Linked DNA regions of Styela clava. The protein of the gene in region 1 purifies or fractionates together with the protein of each later gene. This does not show direct contact. Links are inferred from orthologs where the notes say so. Each region holds a gene or a part of one and is shown in the gene's direction. Other genes may lie near its edges.

Region 1 (10,543 bases):
TCGATTGATAAAAGGGAATTACAAACTGCATTGACTTCGTTTGGATACAGGTAAGTCGAGATTGAGTGTTTCATTGCAAATTACTGGTTTGGCCGGGAACAGAGGGTAGGGTGGTGGGGTCTGGTATAGTTTAGTACCACATCCACTTTTAGTTGGCCTGGCTCAACAATTTTTGCATATGTCAATCCTAACCCCCACCTGACTACGTCACCGAAAAATTATGTCATTCCGACGTCACAGTGGCATAATAAGGCTCACCGAAGTATGCGGATGGTCGTACAAAACGCGCAGACGATAACCCGAAATCGAGCAAGCTATTTTTCTTGTTGCAACGATCACGATAGGAGAGAGATTGTCGGCTTTAGCAAGTTCTTATCGGCGGCGCAGATGCCATTTCGGGCGATCGTAATTATACTTTGGCAATCCCTATGACGTGATGGTGACGTCGTAGTGACGTAATTTTTGTTTGGCATAGTCAGGTGAGGGTTAGGAATAACATATGCTAAAAACGTTTTGCTACGCCCACTGGAAGTACTTGTGGTACTAAACTATACTAGACCCGGGTGGTGCAGCCAGTCTGCGAACCCCTATAAAAAATAAACTAATATTTCTAATCAGTTAACTCGTCTAAATATAAACAAAGCACCGCATCGTTTAACTTATGATTTTGACTTCCAGTCTCCATGACAGCTGTTTGAAAATAATAATAAAGAAATACATCTGGTTTTGTATGGCATTTGTTATTGCTTGGTATGGCAAATATCTGTGGTGATTATGTAGGTTAAATACAAGATTATTATTTTCAAACAAATCCTAAGGCGACAGAATCATAACTCGAATTGTCTCACGGTAGGATGACGAACCTGTGAACCACTGATAAGAGCAGATGGTTATTAGATGTAACGCAGTAAATATTTGGGCCCAGGACTAGAGAGTCGGAATCAGACTTTGATTGAATTGAAGTCAAGCCGGGGTTGTTTTTTTATAAATTCCCTTGAGACAAATGAGACAAAAGTTTTGGCATCCAAATTTTAGGCTTCTAATTCTGATTTTCATTCCAGATTGTCGGATAGATTCTACGACCTGTTGGTCAGAAAGTTTGATCGTCAGGGCCGAGGAACGATTGCATTCGATGATTTCATCCAGTGCTGCGTCGTTCTGCAAACTTTAACAAAGTCCTTCAGTGCTAAAGATACCAGCAGAAACGGGATGATTCAAGTATCGTACGAAGAATTTCTCTCCATGGTGTTCAGTGTTAGGTCATAACTCAAAACCTTTAATTGATATGTATCCACCTATTATTGTATTAGTTTACCGAATGTCCAATTTCTGGGAATCCTAGTTCTTCTTAATTCGAGAAAATATTATTTTCATTTCTGTGATGAATAATTATATTGAGGACATTGATTCAATACTGCAGGTTTATTCAACAAGACAATCAGACAGGTGTTTCACGCCGTATTATTCGCCTTTTCCATGTGGTGAAACCTGGCGACCCTTATTTTGAATACCTTGTTTGTTGGGGTTAGAAATAAATTGAACAGAATTCAAACTTTCATAAAATTTCACTCCGATTTGTCATGGTTCTCAAACTTTCATGCCCTTCTGAAGTCTTCAACACTTTTCCAACTCTCACAAAAATAACAAGTTTGGTTTTTAATAACATGTTTTCATTGACCATGTTACCCATGTATAATAATAAAAAAAACAAGAACTGCATCACAGGCAATTTACTTCAAATGAATGTATTGCTAATGATATCTGATTAGCGGTTCTACTCTCTGGGCCCCTAGGGTCGATGGCCTAGTTTGAGAAACCATGCCATGGACTTTATTTATCTGAAAAAGAACATTTATGAAAGTTGGTTTTTAACATTTCCATTCAATTCATTATGCAGTGGAATTGTTAGATTTTTAGAGAAACATTTTGATGTGAATGTTTATTCATCCAAGTCTAAATTATTGCAAATTTATTCGGTACAATGTTATGTATTTATATTCACTTCATAGTGAGTTCATGTAGCCTTGCTTTGAACAAACATCAAAGACCATGTGTCAGAAATGAATAACTGGTTGTAATAATAATGTTCACGTACACAACATGGACTTGGAATGGGACGAGAGGCCCCAGTTATCAATATGTCTTATAGGCTTTTCTCTCCCCTCGATTTGAAATCTTATACTTCTTATTCTAAATATTCATGGAAGAGATTATTGCGCTCTTCTAAAATAGTGCTCTGATTTTTTTATTGAATGATACATACATTTGCTTTGATGTGATGAAATAACCAGTTTTTGTGACATAACTCGTTAATAATTGGTATTTAAATTAAATTTAGAGCTCTGTATTGCGTGGAGCATTAAATACCTGGCACTGACCAAGAGAATTATGATCAAAGAATTTTCCTATCCGACTTTGATAAAATGTTATGTTGAGTCACAATACATATTTGTATCCTGCTTTATGATGTAATATTAGATATTTGAATCTTGGGAAGGAAATTGTAATCTGGGAATTGAATTAATATTTGCATTCTTACATATCTTGTTGTGTATTGTTGATCACTTGTTTTCTATTCATTCAATTATTGTGATGAGCCCAGCTAGCGCAGTTTTCATGAGTAGAAACGCAGTGCTGATGCTTTATTCTTGTTACCAATGTTCCTGATCCAGATTTTTCATATTGCATTTGAGATACTTGTGCAAATTGTGCCTGCAGTAAATGCTCATTGCTAATAAATGTTTCCTCATTTCCTAACCCAAGAAAAATCTCCCTACACTCAATCGTGGCAGAATTGTCTGTTCTTGTTTTCGTGAATTGGACATCTGACTTTCGTTTTATAAATATCCATTTTATATTAGAATATTTGAGCTTTCATAATGAATTGAGCAGAGAATTCTATGCTCAGAGAAACATACATCTCTTACAGGGAACACGTTATTTTTTTTCCCGAAGGCATGTACCGGTATGTTGTAAATAGGGCTGGCAATTTCAAAATGTGTGATGATCACAAGTATCCAAAAGTATATTCGTTTACTGAATGCCTGCAATTTGGAAAGTTTTTATTTATGTAATTACTGTATCTTTGTTAAATTTGCTAGTTTGGCCATAAGTGAAATTCATGTCATGTTATGCTCTTTCTAGCATTTCTGGTCATGTCGAATAAACATTTTATCTGGACTCATTATATCTTTGCATAGAATTCAGTTTTTTAGAGTGCCTAGATTTGGTAGAGCTGGTATCACAATTTATACTGAAAATATTAATAATAAGAAACTATTTTTTTCATAATTCTTCGAATTAATGTATAATATGATTAACTTAGACTAAATGGAAAGTAGTGAGAGTGAAGATTTGAATCTGCCAATTGATTTTTGGAGATTATTACATAAACAAAAGGATTACTCAAGCGGAAATAATGCAGAGGTGGAAATCAGTAATAAATTGAAAGGATTATCTGATCAGCAAGGGTGTGGGAATTACTCATCTGTAAATATTGCAGAGTTGGAAATAAAACAAAATTCTAAGGATTGTGTTGAATATTGTTCAAATGCTACGAGAGTTTTCAAAAGAAAGAGAAGGCCTAAGAAAGGTCCAATAGTCTATTCCGACTCTGATAGTGATGATGATACAAAACATATTGAACAATCTCGTAAACTGTCAAAATATGAAAACGCAAAAATACATGGCTCTTCAATGACCACTAGTGTTGGTTGTGTCGCATCAAGTAACGATAAACATGGAAGCTTTTTAAAAAAGGGCGATTCTGAACCCACTGCTTCAATAAATAAAAATGCAGTGAAGCCAGATACCGTTGCTAAGGGCAACAAGATGTCTGGTGGAGGCAACAGAAGAAAACGAAAACAGGATAAACTTGCAATGAATTTGGATGGTAATCTTACAGAAAAACAGTTTGACGATGAAACAAAGATTTGTAAACAAAGTGACAATGAAGACACCTCAAATATAACTCGATGTGATGTGAAGACATCAGAGAACACAAATTTTCTGGCTGAGAAACGCTCACTGAAGCACAGCAAAACATCCAAAGTCCCAAATGAAAAACTTGTTAAATCGAGATTGTCAAATGAGAAAGATTCCTCTGATGAAGAACTCGATGCCTCAGAAATGGAGAAAAGGTTTAACATGGATCGGAATAAGTCTAAAATATCTCGGTCTCGATTCGGCTCCCTGAGGAGGAAAAACTATAAATTTGCGCCGATAATATTTTCAGATGAAAACGAGGAAATTGTTATTGAAGGTAAAAGGTCAGTGAAGGTCGTGGAAAACCAAAACCTTGATATTTGTGGAAAAAATGTGAATCTGACTTGTATAGAGAAACCTGGGTCTAATATTAAACCAGTTACTAGTAACGTCACTACTATAGAGTCTGGTGAACAGCCAGGACCCAACATCGATGACCTATTTTCTGTGTCAAATAATGTAAGAAAGTTGGGCTCTGATAATGCAAAGCATTCCCCAGGGAAGAAATTACTCAGAAATGGAACAGATGGTCATAATTCGTCAAATCAGATAATCAATGGCACATATACTCGAGATAACTATTCGGCTAATAATAGAAGTAACCAGCTCACTAATACTGATACTATCGTGTCACCATCAAGTCCATGCAGCGATTCTAAAACTGGTCGGGCCCTTTCTCAAATGAGTGATTTATTTTTCAATGATGATGATTGTAAAATTAAACCAGCCCCTGGGAAACAAAAATCAGGCAACACTGATTCTAAATCTCATGCTCGTATTGCACAATCTTTGTCTAATATTTCACAATCTAATACAACTATTGCACAATCATCTGGGGGTCATGAAGTCACCTTATTTGATGATGATTTATGGAGTTCGCCAAGAAAATAAGCAGGGCAGAATCAAGAAATGTAAGCTTTTATGTCACACTTACATGGTCCCTGGCCGACCTCTGTTCTAACAGCCAAACCTGAGAAAGCACGCAATGCAATACTTGAAAATAAAACCAAAACAGCCACAGCTTTGAAATCCAAAAGATTGCCCCCAGTCCATATTGATGGAGGACAAAAAAGTCTATTTCTGGTAAATTTGACCCTGAAGCTTACAGCGGGGATATTTATTGTATCATATATTTTAATACTTTTTTGCTTTTTATGTAAACCCACTGTGATATTATCATTTACGGTTGAATTGTTTCAAATCAATTAACTTTTCTGTTTTCAAACCATTATGACCTCATTTTAAATTGAATTTTCACAAATTTGCAATGTTTCAAATTAAAATTTCCATTATTTTTCAAATAGTATTTTTCAGAAAATTTTTGTTGCTAGGCTATAATAAGTCTCAAATCAGCAAAATGCCGGCCGTTTCCCGTGGTGATGGAATGAGGGGCTTGTCAGTCTTTATAGCTGATATTAGAAACTGTAAGTTTTTGATTTTACTATAAATTGATTTAAAATTGTTTGCTCTGAGGCTTTCTTACCTTAGAGCAGGGGTCACCAACCTTTATGGAGCTGCGGGCTACTTTTTTGGTACCGACTAAGCTAAAATCACTCTACTGAAAAGCCAATTTGATATTAATGGTATTTAGCGAAGGAGACACTGATAATGTTTATTATTCATGAAACTATCAATAGTAGGTGTCCTATCAAAGGTTTTTTTTTTACCAACACATTTAACAAATCATGAATATCATATTTTCAACCAAGACCAAATCTGGTGTATTCCTCCTCAGTATGTGGGAAATCTGGTATTGCATCTCCACCCTTGTGTTGTACTCCGGTTTGCAAAGGTTAGAAATGAACGACACACATGGCTCCAGCTGATCTATTGTGTGTGATGTCATAATTGGAATGACATGTGACATTACCGATGTCACATATAGAAAAGGTTGACCGTTACAATAATTATTAATTATTATATTGTCATTTCCATTTCTCATATAGGGTTTGAACAAGAATAGCAAGAATAAAATTAATAGATGTAGCTTACTGATGAGCGCCGTTATTTGAGTTATTTCAAAACAGACCTGCGGGTGACTCATATGGTGCGTGGGGTCAACGGGTTGGTGACCCCTGCCTTAGAGTGAGTTCATGTAGCGTGTTTTAGATTTCATTGAGTTGACCAAACTATTCTTATTTCCAGGTAAAAGCAAGGAAGCAGAGAGTAAAAGAATAAACAAAGAATTAGCAAATATAAGGTCAAAGTTCAAAGGTGAGAGTTGAAATATTTTAATAGAAAACACAAGAATTAATTCCCATTTATGCTTCATTATCTCGCTGTTTTTGTGTTAGCTATTCTTTCCTGTAGCAGTGAAACATGGCTAGTCTGCCCTCTTTACTATTTCCTGTACAAGATGGCTATGATTTCACAGCAGGTTCTGTTCGTAGTAATGCTTGGTTCTTATTGGTTCCAACTGTGCTTCCTAGCTTGTCCTACTATATAGTTTAAGATGGCATTGCTATGATACCATAGCAAGTTATTAAAGAACTAGGTATGCTCTCATTTTTAATTTGCGGTTTTGGGATTCCATCGAATTTGGTTTTCTAACTAATGATACATTCGAAGTAATATTCTATAATGACTCATCAAATACCGATACCTCATTATTAATATGGAAAACAAATCGAATAAACTTTGAATAATTTGTTAATTTATGAATTGCTAAAAACAAATTGTTTGGCTCTATGTCATTGAGTTACCGACTTGTACTCCTGAACAAATAGGAAGCACTTTGTGCCGGTGATTGTTTTGTTTGTTTATTATAATTGGTTGTTTCCTGAGTTGAGACTTATAGTAGGTCCCAGTACCAGGCATGATGTTTCCTTTCAAACTGGTTTGGTATTTTAGTGGAAGGGCTTTTTGATTCATATCAAGCTGACATGTTTCAATACCCAGGAAATGCTTTATCAAAGCTATAATGTTACACATGAAAATTTGTGGTCAAGCTGACCTGATGAACCCTGCTGAGCGTATTTGGGAAAAGGATCAATGTGAAACAATATCACAGCAGAGGCAATTATCAGCAACTATTTTCGATTTTCAGAACACTTTTTATGAACAAAATTAAGTCTATTTTTAAAAATCCCCAAAATCTAAAAAAATATTATTTAATACCAACCTATTGAAATATTGGAACATCAGCTATGCAGGCGTCTTACTATTGGTTCGAATTCAAAATTGATCAAAATATTGAAGATCAATATCCAGGCTGTTGCTTGATGGATCAATACTGAAGTCAATTAATATCAAACAGGGTCGCAAAATGTTCAACTGAATTCAAAAATATTTTGTTTATAAATGCAATAAAGTTTCACTACATTTGAAACTCTGAACAGAATTTGTATGAATATGTTTTTTATGTGAAATCGGCCCAAAACATGTTATTAAGATTTGGTTGAGCAGCTGAAATCAATCATGCTCAGACAATTTGTATTTCATTCACATTGTGCCTCCTGCTAAATCATGACACTTGTCTAATTGTGGCAGCTAAGGAGACACTTAATGTCAATATAAGCATCCACTCTGTCATATTTTGTCTGCTCGGATGTATCGAAAAACAATTGTTCCTATGTTTGTTTTATTCCTCCCTTGGCCTGTTCAGACCTGCTCTTTATTCACCCTATTCTATGTGTAAAGGCTTCAATAATCTTAAATGAGTCCAATGTTGTACGCAATTCGCACTCCTGCCCAGTCCACATCTGAGTTTCCTAAACTTTTTGGGCCGCGGACCCCTATTTGAGAATCTTAGTTTTGACGAACCCCCATCCATGGTAATGTTTCATTTACAACACAACAACGCAAACGACATTAACAAATTATGACAAGCATACTCGTAGAATCGACTCTACGACAAGTCTCAACCTGTATTTTATCATCATATTGTTAAGAGGTGAAAATGCTGCCTCACGCATGTAGGTCGTTACAAAAGGCAATAAAATTTTAATTGCCTTTTCTGATAGCAGTGGATATTCGTCCGCAACGCTCAACTAAAAATATTCAATTGGTCTTTGATTAAAATCAATCATGATATATCGATCAGAACTTTTTTCATATCGTTGCGGACCCACTGTGCAGTTGTCATGGACCCCCAAGAGGGCCCCAGTTTGGGAAACCCTGGTTTGAATGGTTTATAGCCAGGGATTCCATCCATCTGGAACACAAAAAAAGGACGACTGGAAAAATTTCTGCATTGTGAGCAGAAATAGCTGGCTTTCCAATGGCCTCCAGGTTAATGTCACAATTACAGACGCCACAGTGTGCGAAGCACTTACCCTTCAAGCTTCGTTTAACTTTGAACTCTTTCTCGTACTCGAAAAACGTTTTTACATTTGCTCATATTTAAATTTAAGCTAAAATAACCACCACCACGACGAAACTCAAGGATCGCCACACTAGTAATGCTTCATGCCTATCTGTGCCTTGCTTCTTTGTGTTCCAAATAAGATTGTGTTGTTTTTACGATGCCGCAATAAAGCCTTGGCGATAAGATCAACAACAACAAAGCTTTTAATATGAAGTCCAAATAAGACCAAATAAGGACCCGCAAGCCAAAAATGCGGACGCAAGCTAAAAATAAGCCAAAAATAAGGACAAACCTTAGAAAAAAGGACGGTATGGAATCCCTGTTTATAGCGGATGCATAAATGAGTATTACTCAAGAACTAAACAATATTAGTGAAACTGCAACCATTTGCAAAGCAATATTCCCGCTCAAAAGCATCACAGAAAGGCGGTGGTAAAGCTTCTCTTCTGATTTACTCTCGGCGTTATGTATGGTCGGTTCATTAGAGCTTGGAATGATAGCGATCTTAAAAGATAAATATTCATTGCAGGAGACAAGACATTGGATGGATACAGCAAGAAGAAATATGTCTGCAAACTCTTGTTCATATTCCTGCTGGGTCACGACATTGACTTTGGACATATGGAAGCCGTCAACCTTCTCAGTTCAAACAAGTACACTGAGAAGCAGATTGTGAGTTTTGGCTTCAAAGCAGGCACTTTAGCATAAGAAACTATAAATCTGTGTGATAACTTGCTTTAATTGCTAAACATGACTGCACCACCGCTATGTCATTGTCACATTGCTCTCCATCCAGCCATTGTGAGTGCTCAATGAATGACATCTGGTAGACCATTTTCATGTCTACAGCTCCCATTGCTAAGCCCGTATTTTACCAGGATAATAAGTGTTTTTTTTCCAGGGTTACCTGTTCATCTCTGTTCTGGTCAGTTCGAGCTCAGACTTGATCAAGTTGATCATCCAGAACATCAAGGTAAGAGGGTTTAAGACTTGTTGAACTGCAGGTCCTTTCTCCTTGTGTAGTTGTTTCCCTGCTTGAATAAGATAGCACCATTAGATTGAGACAATCTCTTTCCATGAAAGTCGATTTCGTTATTTCAAACAATATAACTTTATATATGAAGATCGTGATGATAAGTGCTATTCCATGGTAAGGCTGTCACTTAACTTGGCCTGGCGTGCCACAAACCATGATCGCATATGATAAAGTGACCCTACTTACTGAATTTTTATTTTAGACTTTGCTGGGAATTCCCATTTTAAAGGTTGACCCTAAAAATGGAATCCAAATCTTTTGGGGATTGTTTTAGAGAGAACAAAACTGTTGTGCAGATTTTGAATGTGCACAATCATACACAAATACTTTTTTCATAGAATTGATCAGAAAAGTTATGTTTTTTTTGAGGTCTCTGTTGTACTCCCTAGTTCAGCTCCCTACCTAGCTCTTATTTAACCCCTTTGCTATCTTTCAGAATAAAGTCGTTAGTATTTTTCATTTTATTTATCCCTTTGACAACTTTCACGATGATCTTCTTTAGTCCTTCCATTACCTTTCAGAACGATATTTCATCACCAAACCCAATCCATGTTAACCTTGCTCTCCACTGCATCGCCAACATCGGATCCCAAGATATGGCCGAAGCCTTTGCTCCTGAAATCCCGAAACTGCTCGTCTCACCGTAAGTTATTGTTTATACATTGCTCATTCATTTCTTGCGCTTTGAACAAGGCCATGTACCATATAGCCGCTGATTAAAATAAAACAAACTTGAGATATACTTAGAACTGACTTCATAATATTTCAGTTGTCAGGGATAACTTTGTTCAGATAGAGTCATTTTTAATCAGGTGACCTAGCTTTGAGCAAAATCATTCCAACCACGACTAGTGGACCCTTTGGCCCAGGAGAAGCTCTGTAAAACCCTAGGGCAAGGGCGTAGTTCAAGAAACCCTGCCCAACATTTTGTGTGAGCCTTACATCCGTACAAACGGCCTTTATTTCCTGTTTATTCGAGCTTCAGTATTGTGTAATGAATTGTTCTTAATCATTTGACTTCGTAAAATCAATAGCAAAAGGAGCAAATCTACAAGAAAAACAATAATTAAATTCGCCTTATTCGGAGCATATAGAAATATGTTGTATAAAAAGTTGCATTTTTTTGTTACACAGTGAGTCTTCATATTCTTAATATATCCATCTGTTTATTCCAGCGACACCATCAATATTGTAAAGCAATCAGCAGCTTTGTGTCT
Region 2 (11,059 bases), on another chromosome or scaffold:
GAATATATATCAATCCCATGTATTTTACCAAATAACAAAAACAATATTTGTCCTAAATACGTAGATTTCTCCATTCCGTCTCTTACATTAGGTGTGTATTGCAGGTGTGTGTCAAACAAAGTACTTTCAAATCTTTTATGCGACCGGAAAAACTCTCTGTAATCGCTTGCTGCTGTGATGTCGAGAAGATTTTCTATTTTATTAAACTGGAAATTACCCTCGAAAATCTACTACTTCAAATAATTTTTATTTGACAGTGATGTCATCATAAATTAGTCTATCCCTGTATACCGAGTTTCCCCGAAAATAAGACCTACCTCGAAAATAAGAACTAGCCTGAATTTTAAAATGATTTTAATATAAGCCCTCACCGTAAAATAAGACCTAGTCAATAACGCGGATTTTTTTTTGGTGGATAGCAAGATAGTCCATAACAAGAAATCTCTCCAACACGTTTTGAATGATTGATAATCTACGTTTTGCAGCTATTTTGAATAAAAACGTAAATAAATATCAGTTTTTCTATTTTGTAGATTTGAAAATCTCGTAATTGCCTACTTTGTAATTTTGTTTTTGATAATTTAAAATATAAGATATTCGCCGAAACGAAAAAGCCCTAGTGTTGTTTTTCGGAAGATATTGAAATAAGACCCAGTCTTATTTTCGGGGAAGCACGGAAATCATGGGTTGTTAATCGACTTCCCGATTAAAAAATATTTTAGGTATTGCTGTAGCAGAGTGGAATTACAAAATATATATTGCTTGTAGAGAATTATGTACGAATGACAAGGCACCTCCACAGACTTCACAATAGCATTAAGGAGCAATGGGAATCCCTTCCAAAACAAAACACCCCCGCAATCGCTCAGTTACCTGGTTATGAAACGTTGTCTGAAAGAACGACGCTGCCTTTCTGTAATAAACCAGAATCAAGCATTTTAATCAAATTGCCTTTGTAGTGTTTACAGCCGTTATCGAGCAACGCTAAGTCAATTTTATTTAATTTCAATTTAATCCCAAAATTTTCTCATAGCTGTGGAATAACTTCATGAGCGTCTCCCAATACAACTTACAAGGAAGGAATAAGTCTTATACAAGTCCTACAATATACCCCTTCGGGTTTAGAAAAAACTTGAACGATTCAAGAGAATTGCCTTATTCACAGTGCCTTAGTGTGTTTGGAAAATTAAAGCTACCGGACGCCGACAACACAGCCTGGTAGTAACGTAAACTGTGGGGGATTTGGGGATTTCGTGACAACCAGCAAACGTGATCATGAATTTCAGGATTCAATGTTTCGCATGGTTTTTGAAATGTTCGTAAAAATTTCAAATTCCATCTTATTTCTGAATATAAGTAAATGATCAGGTGGTTATAGTCATGTAAAATAACCCTTTGACTAACCCAGCGTGTTCAACAAATCGTTCTGTCAACTTCGCACAGGTTGGGTCGATCTCCAACGAGTAAAAACAGCTACCAGGTTTCAACGTACAATAGGTAGAGCAATATATTCAAACCACGCCCCACATTCTAAAGTAAAAGTCGAATTCATGTCTCGAACGTAAAGTGGAATTACAAAAGATTGCTTGACAATATTATTATTTACGAATGACATAATAGTAGGCTACATAATAATCTTGCCAAGCAATCTTTTGTAATTTCACTTTACTACAGCAATAACCGAAATATCCTTTAATCGTAAAGTCGATTTTATTAACAACCCACGATTATAGATAGACTAATTTATGATGACTTCACGCGCAAACACTGTTTGGTTACGGCACGAGCCACTTTATGGAATTTATGATGTTTAGCTCACTAGCTTACAAGCCCAGTTAAGCGATGACTGGTTCGAATTAAATTCTTACCACTCACCTAGCGAGTCCGCGTACCCCTGTGACGGCCTAAAAGACTTTTTAGACGGATGAACTCTTTGCGCGATAGAAGATGCAATACCTCACCGTGAACTCGTAAAATCGCTTCCATTTGCACAGTCAAGCCCAGGAATCTGTCTCACTCCCAGAGACGCAATATTTTGAACTGAAATCCTACAATGAAGCATAAATCAAATATATGAACACACATATATGTATGTAAAATACATGATTATGCTTGCGATTTCACTGTTTCTATCAAATCAGTACTAAATATTGACAACACAGCGAAACAGTAGGTGTTTGCATAGTTTTCGGAGCGAGAGGCTTGAGTAAGTGTAATATGCAAAAGTCCATCTCCCATGTGAAATTATGAAACCGTTTTTCTTCTGACGATATTGTTTATGGCGGAATATTACTGTTATTACGAACTATGATGCCGGTAATCTAATTTCCATTGAAAGACAAAACTACTGCTTTGATTTGCGCAACATCAAGGCGCCAACACCAAACGACGAACATATTTTCACCTATTGATTCAATAGGGGAAGCAGGTGCTTTCTGTTGTTCGGTTGTTTCATCACTTATTGAAATTCAAACACTGGCCTTGTTATATTTTGTATAAAATCATAATCCTTGTTTAAATCGAGTATAAAAAATGATCGCAATGAACCGCAAAACAAAGTTCCAAGTTGACAATATTCCCTGAAGTTTTCGAGCCTCGATTATCTTTTGGCATATTTCTGCAATTTGCATATATTATAACTATAAAATTACTGTTATAGCCTAAACTTGAGGCTAGGCTTATCCCGGAGCATATTACGACCCACGAGCAGAAAACGATCCAATTGAATTCTAGAATTGGAATAAACCTCCCAGATGCGACATGGAGGGCATGTTTCCCAACTTTAGCTGACACGAACACTTATGTCAATAGTAGTTACTATACACACGTTATGTCTAATTGAATATAGTCTACCTTCATTTTAAATATAAATAAAAGAGGAATACTGTTTTTAGGGTATACTAGGAACTAGATATTAAATGCAAGCATGAAATTATATTACATTTGTTATAGAGGTAATTGATAAGCAATAAAACGGAAATAAAAAACAATTGCACTTTCTTACATTGGCGTCTAGGTAGGCTGTGTGTGTACCTCGAACAGCAATCTTTATACCTTCATTTTGGTGATAGAATGAACAGACAGAATGAAAATCCGGAGAGACGGATTTTAAAATATTTGAATGCTTGCATTTATTCTTCCACATTATTCGATGAAATCGTAAACTGCAAAAGAATCTCACATTTCGCTTATCGTAAAATGAATGTAATTGTTTTCAACATTAAATAATATGATCATGATCAACATTTTGCTTTTCGAACTGATTTACAGATCACCTGTGCTTTTAATAGTGTGATGTTCTACATGAAGATTTGAATCGATTTTACCAATTGGATTTAGATCGATTTTAACAAATATGTTTGATTATTAATTAATGTTCAAACTTTAGAAAGAAAAGAACAGAAATATTACCTAGAAAATATCTATCAATTTGAATTTATAATAATTGACTTTGACATTATAAGCTAATAATATGCTATGTCTAATAATAATATATGGCTCGCAAATCTATTATCTACTCGCACGGTGTGTCGTAAATGTCGTGTCCCACTTTGCTCTGGGACAAGTGGGACACGACATTTTTGAAACACCCCATTCCGAATGAAACGACGGTAACGAAATAATAAGTTCGTATTTTCAGCATGATGAAGAAATAAATTATCCATTTTCCATATCCATATTCATTTTTACATATTAGAAGCAGAAGTTCAGAAATTTCAGGTAAATTTACTTTCGTTTCTGTTAGACTCAATCACGGGTGTCGCTGCTCGATAACCAGTATTGGTTTCTTGCGCTCTCCTGAAATAACAGTTTTGTTTCTTTTTACATTCTGTACTCTCGAAGTGTATTTCATGTATAAATAAACTAATAATTACAGCTCAACAATGCTTGTCAGTTGCCAATAAATATATTTATGTAAAAAAAAAAAATGAAATCCCTTTTTACATTCAGATTCTAGTCACTTTCTTCTTGGACAAATTCACACTTATGCTTCCTTATACGTATATACTTACAACATCAATATTACGAAAAGAAATAAAATGATGAAATGAATAATAATAAAGTCATTCTTATACTGCAAATTCAATGTGTCAGCCCTGGGCAGTGGCCTCCAACTTGGGTTCCACAGAAAAGATTATTGTGGATAGGAAAAATTATTTATTGCTATTTATTTGGGTTAAAAAAGTCACACTGCGTGTTCTTGAGCAGATTATCTATACATACAAGTAGATCCCATTTTCTATTCGACGCCTCATGTCCTTCGACCCGATATCTAACTGAGATCCAACTATGTGCGAACGGCCACTACATCATCCATCGCATTTTTGCGCGCAGTTTTCTCGCGAAGTTTTGTGTATTGGTGAAAGTCACTCTTGCATAACAGTAATGGGCATACTACAGCCCGCGGGCCAAATCCGGCCCGTTGGGTAATCCAATCTGGCCCGCCTGATGCTGCCACAACCAAACTAAAACCAAATTTTGATGTTTTAGCTACAAAATAGCGCAAGGAATTTGCTGAGATTGTGATTACATTTGCGCGAAGCTTATTGTTTTCCACTTTTGCTTTTGAATATTGTGCATAGAATGTAACTTTCTACGTCACACTTACTAGCCCGCTAGTATAGGTGGGGAAATTTTTGACACCAGTCCAAAAACCTTCCCTACCCCTGGCTTAAACGTTAATTTATTTCGAATTTTCTCACAACGTTATCAATACTTTTAAAGCCGCATACAGGGTGTAAATAAAGTTACTTTACAATTTCAATTTTGTTGTGAACTCAGTTCTTAATACATATCTATATATCTTAACCAGGTTTGTTATTTTTTATTCATCAGTTACTTCATTTAATAGTGTATATTTACGATTTAATACATCTGTGAGGGCCAAAACAATATATGATATATCGATAAATTCCTCTTTCAATTTAAAAAGAAATTATCACTTCATGGGCATCCTGTAAATATATACTTTCTGATGTGAAGGGAAACAAGAGAGCTATGCTCAAATATATGGACACGTAGGCACCCAATGGCAATAATTTTGATGACGTCATAGCGAAAAAAAAAGTAATAGCCTTCTGGAGAAAAATTTTATCTTCAACCACTGAAAATTTCAAAGCAATTGGTCCAGTATTCGAAGAGAAAAGCGACTTTTTAAAAACGTGTCAAAGAACAAGAACAACAACAAGGATAACAAGAACAACAACAACATAATATTGAAACGATCGTTATGTCCACTACGTGTCCAATAATGGCTCCACTTTTTTAAACCAACTTGGATGTTTCTCTAACGTTAAAACCCTCGAAATTTGTTGGTTTATAATAGCCTACTTTTGCGCATATAAATCACGAAAGGTTGTATGTAAAACGTTCGCCAATAAAATGACAGTCGTCTTGATAGTTTTGTAAAAAGTGTCGAAGATAAGAAGTTCAGAAGAGTTAAGACTGGTAATATGAGGTGATTTAAGTTTATAAATGCCGGGAACGATCACGTAGGATTGGGAGGTGGGATTTGGCACGTATAATTCGAGTGGAGATTTTGTATGGGATTAGAAATGAGAAATTCATGAAAAGGTTGCTTGATGCTTAGCTGTCGCGGGGGGGACGTGATAGCTATTTGGTTAAGTGGAGGAAGGAGGAATATAATATAAAATTATAAACGGTCATTTATATTTTATGCTACCAATTATGGTGCCTCGCAATCTAAAATGTATTCGACAATCGTCCATGCGCCTGGAACGAATCGCTGGCTAACTATTCCAATACTCGGAGTTGGCTGGTAACCGGACGAGGGTTCAAGGTTCGTCATATGATTAAGCTTTCTAGTTGGCTTACTTCCCCAAAGAGTATACATGACCGCCGAAACAAATATGAAATTCTATCCAAACTTTTTACTCTCTGGCGTCACAATGTGACAGCAATTTGCATTCTAAAAATCCAAACTACAAATGGGAATGACGTCACTTCGTTCTCCCTGCGGTCGCGTATGGAAAAAGATTCTGAAATTACTACAGTACGGTACCGAAACTCTCAAAAACTATGTATTTAAAATAAAATGATTTGATTCAAAATATTAATACGAAAATTCCGTTTGGCATTGGAATTTATTTGGCGAAAAAGGGGGTCCCGGTACGGTACCGGTACCGGTAGGATACTACCGTAACTGACAATATTCTGACAGTCAGGTACCGGTACGGTCTGACGGTGGTACCGTATGTTGCATTAACAGACTCAGACTGAAGTTGCAAAGCTGGGAGCACAATTACTGAATTAACTTACTGACTTAAGCCCTACCAGTCAGCCAGTAGTCTAATCAGAATAATATTGTTCTTGTTGTTGTTTTAATGTAAAAGTGACAGCTTCGACAGTCCAGCAATCTGACAGTTGATTTTCAGCAAATTTCTGCATTAGGCTATTTGTCTTCTGGTCTGCTTTTGAAAAATGAAGTCCTGAAGTTAGTGATTTGGATAGCTAGATAAACATTTTTATGCTTTGAGTAAATTTTGTAGAAAGATAAACCAGCGTAAGTCAGTAAGTTGGATTACTGTATTACATGATCAAATACATGAATTCAACTCATTTTCCATCCTTATAACAGTATAATGTCTGAATGTCAGTTTATTTCATGCTTCGTAGATTAAAATTTTTGATGTTATATTTTTGTAGCATTGGTCGCTCAACTAGCCTATCATGTTTTCCAAATAAAAAATAGATAATAAGACTCCATTGTCTGAAAAAGGCTGAACGTGTAAGGGAAATATCTTATACTACAGTACTATTGGAATTATTTAAACACTATAAAAATCACTATGATGCGGTCAATTCGGAATAGTTTTCGAAGGAAGAAGAAACCAAAAGTTCCAGAAAGTACTCAACCACCTGAATGGCAACAGGATGAAAAATCTGTACAGACTGGAACTTGTAAATTTCATGTTAAGGTAGATAATATAAACTTTCTGAATGTGTGTGTATTAATATAAGGGTTTCAAGAAAACAACGTCAAATGTTAAAATAGAGAAAAAAACATTTTTTTAAAAAAAATTCTAAGAAATAATGTGAATGCTTTTTACTGTTTCAAGCTGGCTCTAATCAAAGTTCAAAGAAAAAGGTATTTAATGAAAAGAGGAGTTTGAAATTAAAAAATGAATGTTTTCTTCATTTTCTAATGACCTTTTTTTTTCAAATTTTTTATTTTCGGGTTGAAGCTCTTGCCTAGTAGATTTGTCAGCCTGAAATAATATATTTTATAGCTTATTGTAACACTGATAGATGTTCGTTTCATTGTTGATATACTGCATTCAAATTTTATTACAACTACGGTAAATTTTCAAGTTTTATAGATAGATAGATTTTATTTTGATTCATTCGCAAAAAAATAAAACAATACACAAAAAAGAGAAAGGCGAAGAATCTGGAAATTGAACAAAACCTAAAAATAAATTTATAACATATTAAACGAGTTCGTTCACTCACCGAAGAAGAAAGAAAACAAATCACAACAAACACAAACAAATAAACATCAATACAAATGATTGGTCAATATTCAGGCTTCTAACTTCATAATCAAATTACCTGAAATTATTTACAAACAAAATAGTGAACTGAATAGTGGATATGTGTGCGATGTGTGAGATGGTGTGTAAACAAACAACCGAACAAATTGTTTCCAGATGAAAATGTGTGAACCTATGCCAAATCAGCTATATATAACGTCTACACAATGATGCGAACATCGATTGTCATCGAGATACTTCAGCCTCTATTGTATTCTACCACAATTTGGTCTACCACTCTTGTAGCATCACCAAACAGTTCGATCAGCACAAAATATATGACAGTGATTTGTTGTAAGATTAAAATTATGCGAAACAAAAACAATAACAACACAGGAAAAATTGTTCTATTTTATACCTATATTCCAACTTTATTTGGTAAAAACTTGTTTTGTCCCTTTATTCAAATCTGTAATTAGTCTGTATCAAACAACAGCATGAGCTTTTTTTTATTAGGGACAAATTGGTAATACTTGATATCAGTCAATTACTCATAAATACAAAATCTATATTCACACATAATTGTTTTAATCAGTTGTGTTAAATTTATCTAGCAGCATATTTAATATCAACAAATCAGTGATTTAAAATTGTGGATGGTTTTTAATAGAAGATTTATTGGAAGAAACTGATGATTATAGACACTTTACCGGACAGTGATGCATAATAATTTATTTAGTGTTATGTATTGAAAAGTGGGCAGTAAATAGAAAATGAAAGATGAATAGCGAAAATTCCTAAATCTGCATCATCTGGTTATTTTTTTTTTTTTTTCTCTCTTCAGTATCTTGGATGTATTGAGGTTCAAGACTCAAGAGGAATGCAAGTTTGTGAACAAGCAGTGAAAAGTCTAAAAGCGGTGAGACTTTATTTAATTTCATTTGCTAATTTTTGTATCAGTGTTCATGTACATGTTAAAAATTTTGTGGCTATGATATATATCAGTATAAATTGTGTTTCTTTTATGTTTGTTGTTAGTTCTGTACGGCAAATGAAGGTTTGCAATTAGCTTCAGTAAAAAATTGGATTTTTTTTTTATCAAATATCATTATAATGAAAAATTGATATTTTTGCAATATAATGAGTGTAGCATATTCATATGCCGTTTGTCTGGTTAAACATCAAAATACCTACCTGTGCACTTATAATACAATTATTGCTTATTAGATCACGAGTCTATTGCAAATTAGGTTGTGTATTTTTGTTACACAACTGACAGTTAATTTATGTTAGTTGGCAAATCAAGCTGTATATATCAATTTATCAATGTCAAATATGAAATTTTAGTGTGCTTCAAACAATGGTTCATATCGGGATTAAATATAGACAGTCGGAAGTGCGGTTATCCTGTGTTTTAACATTGTGGTGCTAATGTATCATCCTTATGACGTTAATTCTTTATTGTTTGTTTATTTTTCCTTTCTAATTCAAAGACGTTTTCCTATAGATTCAGGATGCGATAAGAATTTTTCCTCGGGCAATTGAATGCTTCTGGCGTAATCAAAGCAATCATGATATTGTGGGTTCATGCATAATATTTTTACGACATTATAACAAGCATAACATAGAAAATCTGTTTTGTGACCTTTGGCTTAGTTTCAAACATATCCCACTGGAAAAAGCATAATTAAACCGTGCTTTACATACAAATGAGCTCTCCTATTGATTGATAATGAAGCTATGTTCAGGATAAGATTCCCCAGTGCACGAACTTATTAAAGCTCTTAAGTTTGTAAATAATTATTCCCTTGACTGATGGAATTATGTGTATTATCGACTATTCCCCATCCAAGTGTTGGTGACTTAATATAAGTATGATTAAGTTAATGAAACATATAAATTTTTAATTTTCAAATGTACCCAGTAATGTCCAGTAATTTAAAATCGTTAATTCATTTCGACGTAATAGGGGTCTCACAGATGGACCAAAAAGGCCTGCATATTATGATTTTTAATAATTCAAATCAAACAAATTCAAATTACTGTTTATCTACTATTCCCCTGTATTTCCAAAACAAACTCATTAAGTATGCATGTATTGACTTTTTTGTTTATTGGTTGAATATTTAAAATGTATTCGGTATGCTAATATGTAAAAATATTATTTTAATAAATGGATTTGAATAGTAGATCATTTGGTTTTGGCCACCTGTGTGTGCCATTTATGAATTTTAATTTACTTGGTGTTTTTGGAAGGATATGTAAATGTACATTTCAGAATCTGTAATATTCTTTACCTTTTTACCACTGTTCATCATATTACATGTATCCCAAATCAGCATATTTCAAATAGAAACACATGATAATCGATATACGCCAAATTTTATTTTGTATCTTCACTATGTAGCATTTCGTAAAAATTTACTTTTCGTCGAATATCTTTTTGATCAGATTGTAAGAAATATTATTCTAATTTATTGGACTAATACTATATGTAGGGTTACACAAATTCAACCCTAGTTGCCTCTTTGATTTACACTGAGTAAATTTGCCAGGGGAATGATGTCACATCATTTATTGATTTAAGCATTCTTGTTTTATGATATAATTTAGCATCGTGTTATAAAGTTAATATGTCACAAACTACTGCCTGCATATCCAAATTGTATCTTTATGCAGACAGCAAGCTAATTTTTTTTTAGCTTTAATCAGAATTAAAACATCTGATTTAGACATTTTTTGACTTTATTAAAGTAATACATGTACCATTGCCATCATTATAATAATATAATGAAATTCAGGAAAAAACATTTATAGGTAATAGGCACTATATGAAAAAGATTAAACATTTTTAATTTAAATTGTCTTTTAATAATGTGATGACTGATGATACTGAATAGTATTCCATGCTGTCTGCCCAAAAAAACTTCTTTTTATTTATTCAAATTTCATATTTTTATCAACTTCCGAGATAAAATAATATACCGGTAGATTGTTGCTTTTACTGTTCTTAATGAGATAGTCATTTCATACTACAGTATACACGTTTTTATGAATGAGGTGAACGTGTGTGAAATTTCTACCTATTTATAATTATCGACTTCTCTTTTCTGTGGTTTTAAATTACAGAAATTGATTGTAATTTATTTTATAATAGCAGTCTTTTGAGAACTGAAACCACCAAAAGTATGCTCCAAGCATTTCAACAATTTTAGGCTAATTTCCCAGAAATAAAACCTAAACTAACCATTTTGTATTTGCTGTAGAATTTTTATATGGAAAAAACTTTAAATAAAATTTATATGCTGAATTTTAATATTGATAATTGTTACTGTTAATAGAAACGTTTGGTATATTAGTATATTTGGTATAAAACCAACTTGACATTTCAATTTCAATTTGTGAAAAGTTATAAAGTATTACTCGATCCACTTGACAGCTTTTAAAGCCTATTTTGTGGTTATTTACTTGATTAGTTCAATACAGTTTCGTTTTCATGGTTGAATGCCAACGGGGACATGGATTAAAGAACATTAATCAAAAAGTAAACAAAGCTCCGCTGCTTC

Evidence for each region.
Region 2: the proteins of AP-2 complex subunit alpha-2-like (region 1) and protein numb homolog purify together in Drosophila melanogaster (affinity purification with western blotting; 5 studies listed by BioGRID). This does not show direct contact. The link is inferred for Styela clava from reciprocal best matches to the Drosophila melanogaster genes AP-2alpha and numb.

What each region holds. Positions count from the first base shown.
Region 1 is NC_135264.1:18,528,635-18,539,177, forward strand, and holds the start of AP-2 complex subunit alpha-2-like, read left to right. Parts: upstream 1-5,258; 5' UTR 5,259-5,341; coding exon 5,342-5,408; intron 5,409-6,129; coding exon 6,130-6,198; intron 6,199-8,819; coding exon 8,820-8,962; intron 8,963-9,191; coding exon 9,192-9,263; intron 9,264-9,847; coding exon 9,848-9,969; intron 9,970-10,501; coding exon 10,502-10,543. Other genes in the region: programmed cell death protein 6-like, read left to right, coding at 1-50, 1,062-1,266. UniProt on the Drosophila melanogaster protein: Adaptins are components of the adapter complexes which link clathrin to receptors in coated vesicles. Clathrin-associated protein complexes are believed to interact with the cytoplasmic tails of membrane proteins, leading to their selection and concentration.
Region 2 is NC_135258.1:8,271,442-8,282,500, reverse strand, and holds the start of protein numb homolog, read left to right. Parts: upstream 1-6,648; 5' UTR 6,649-6,809; coding exon 6,810-6,938; intron 6,939-8,337; coding exon 8,338-8,412; intron 8,413-11,059.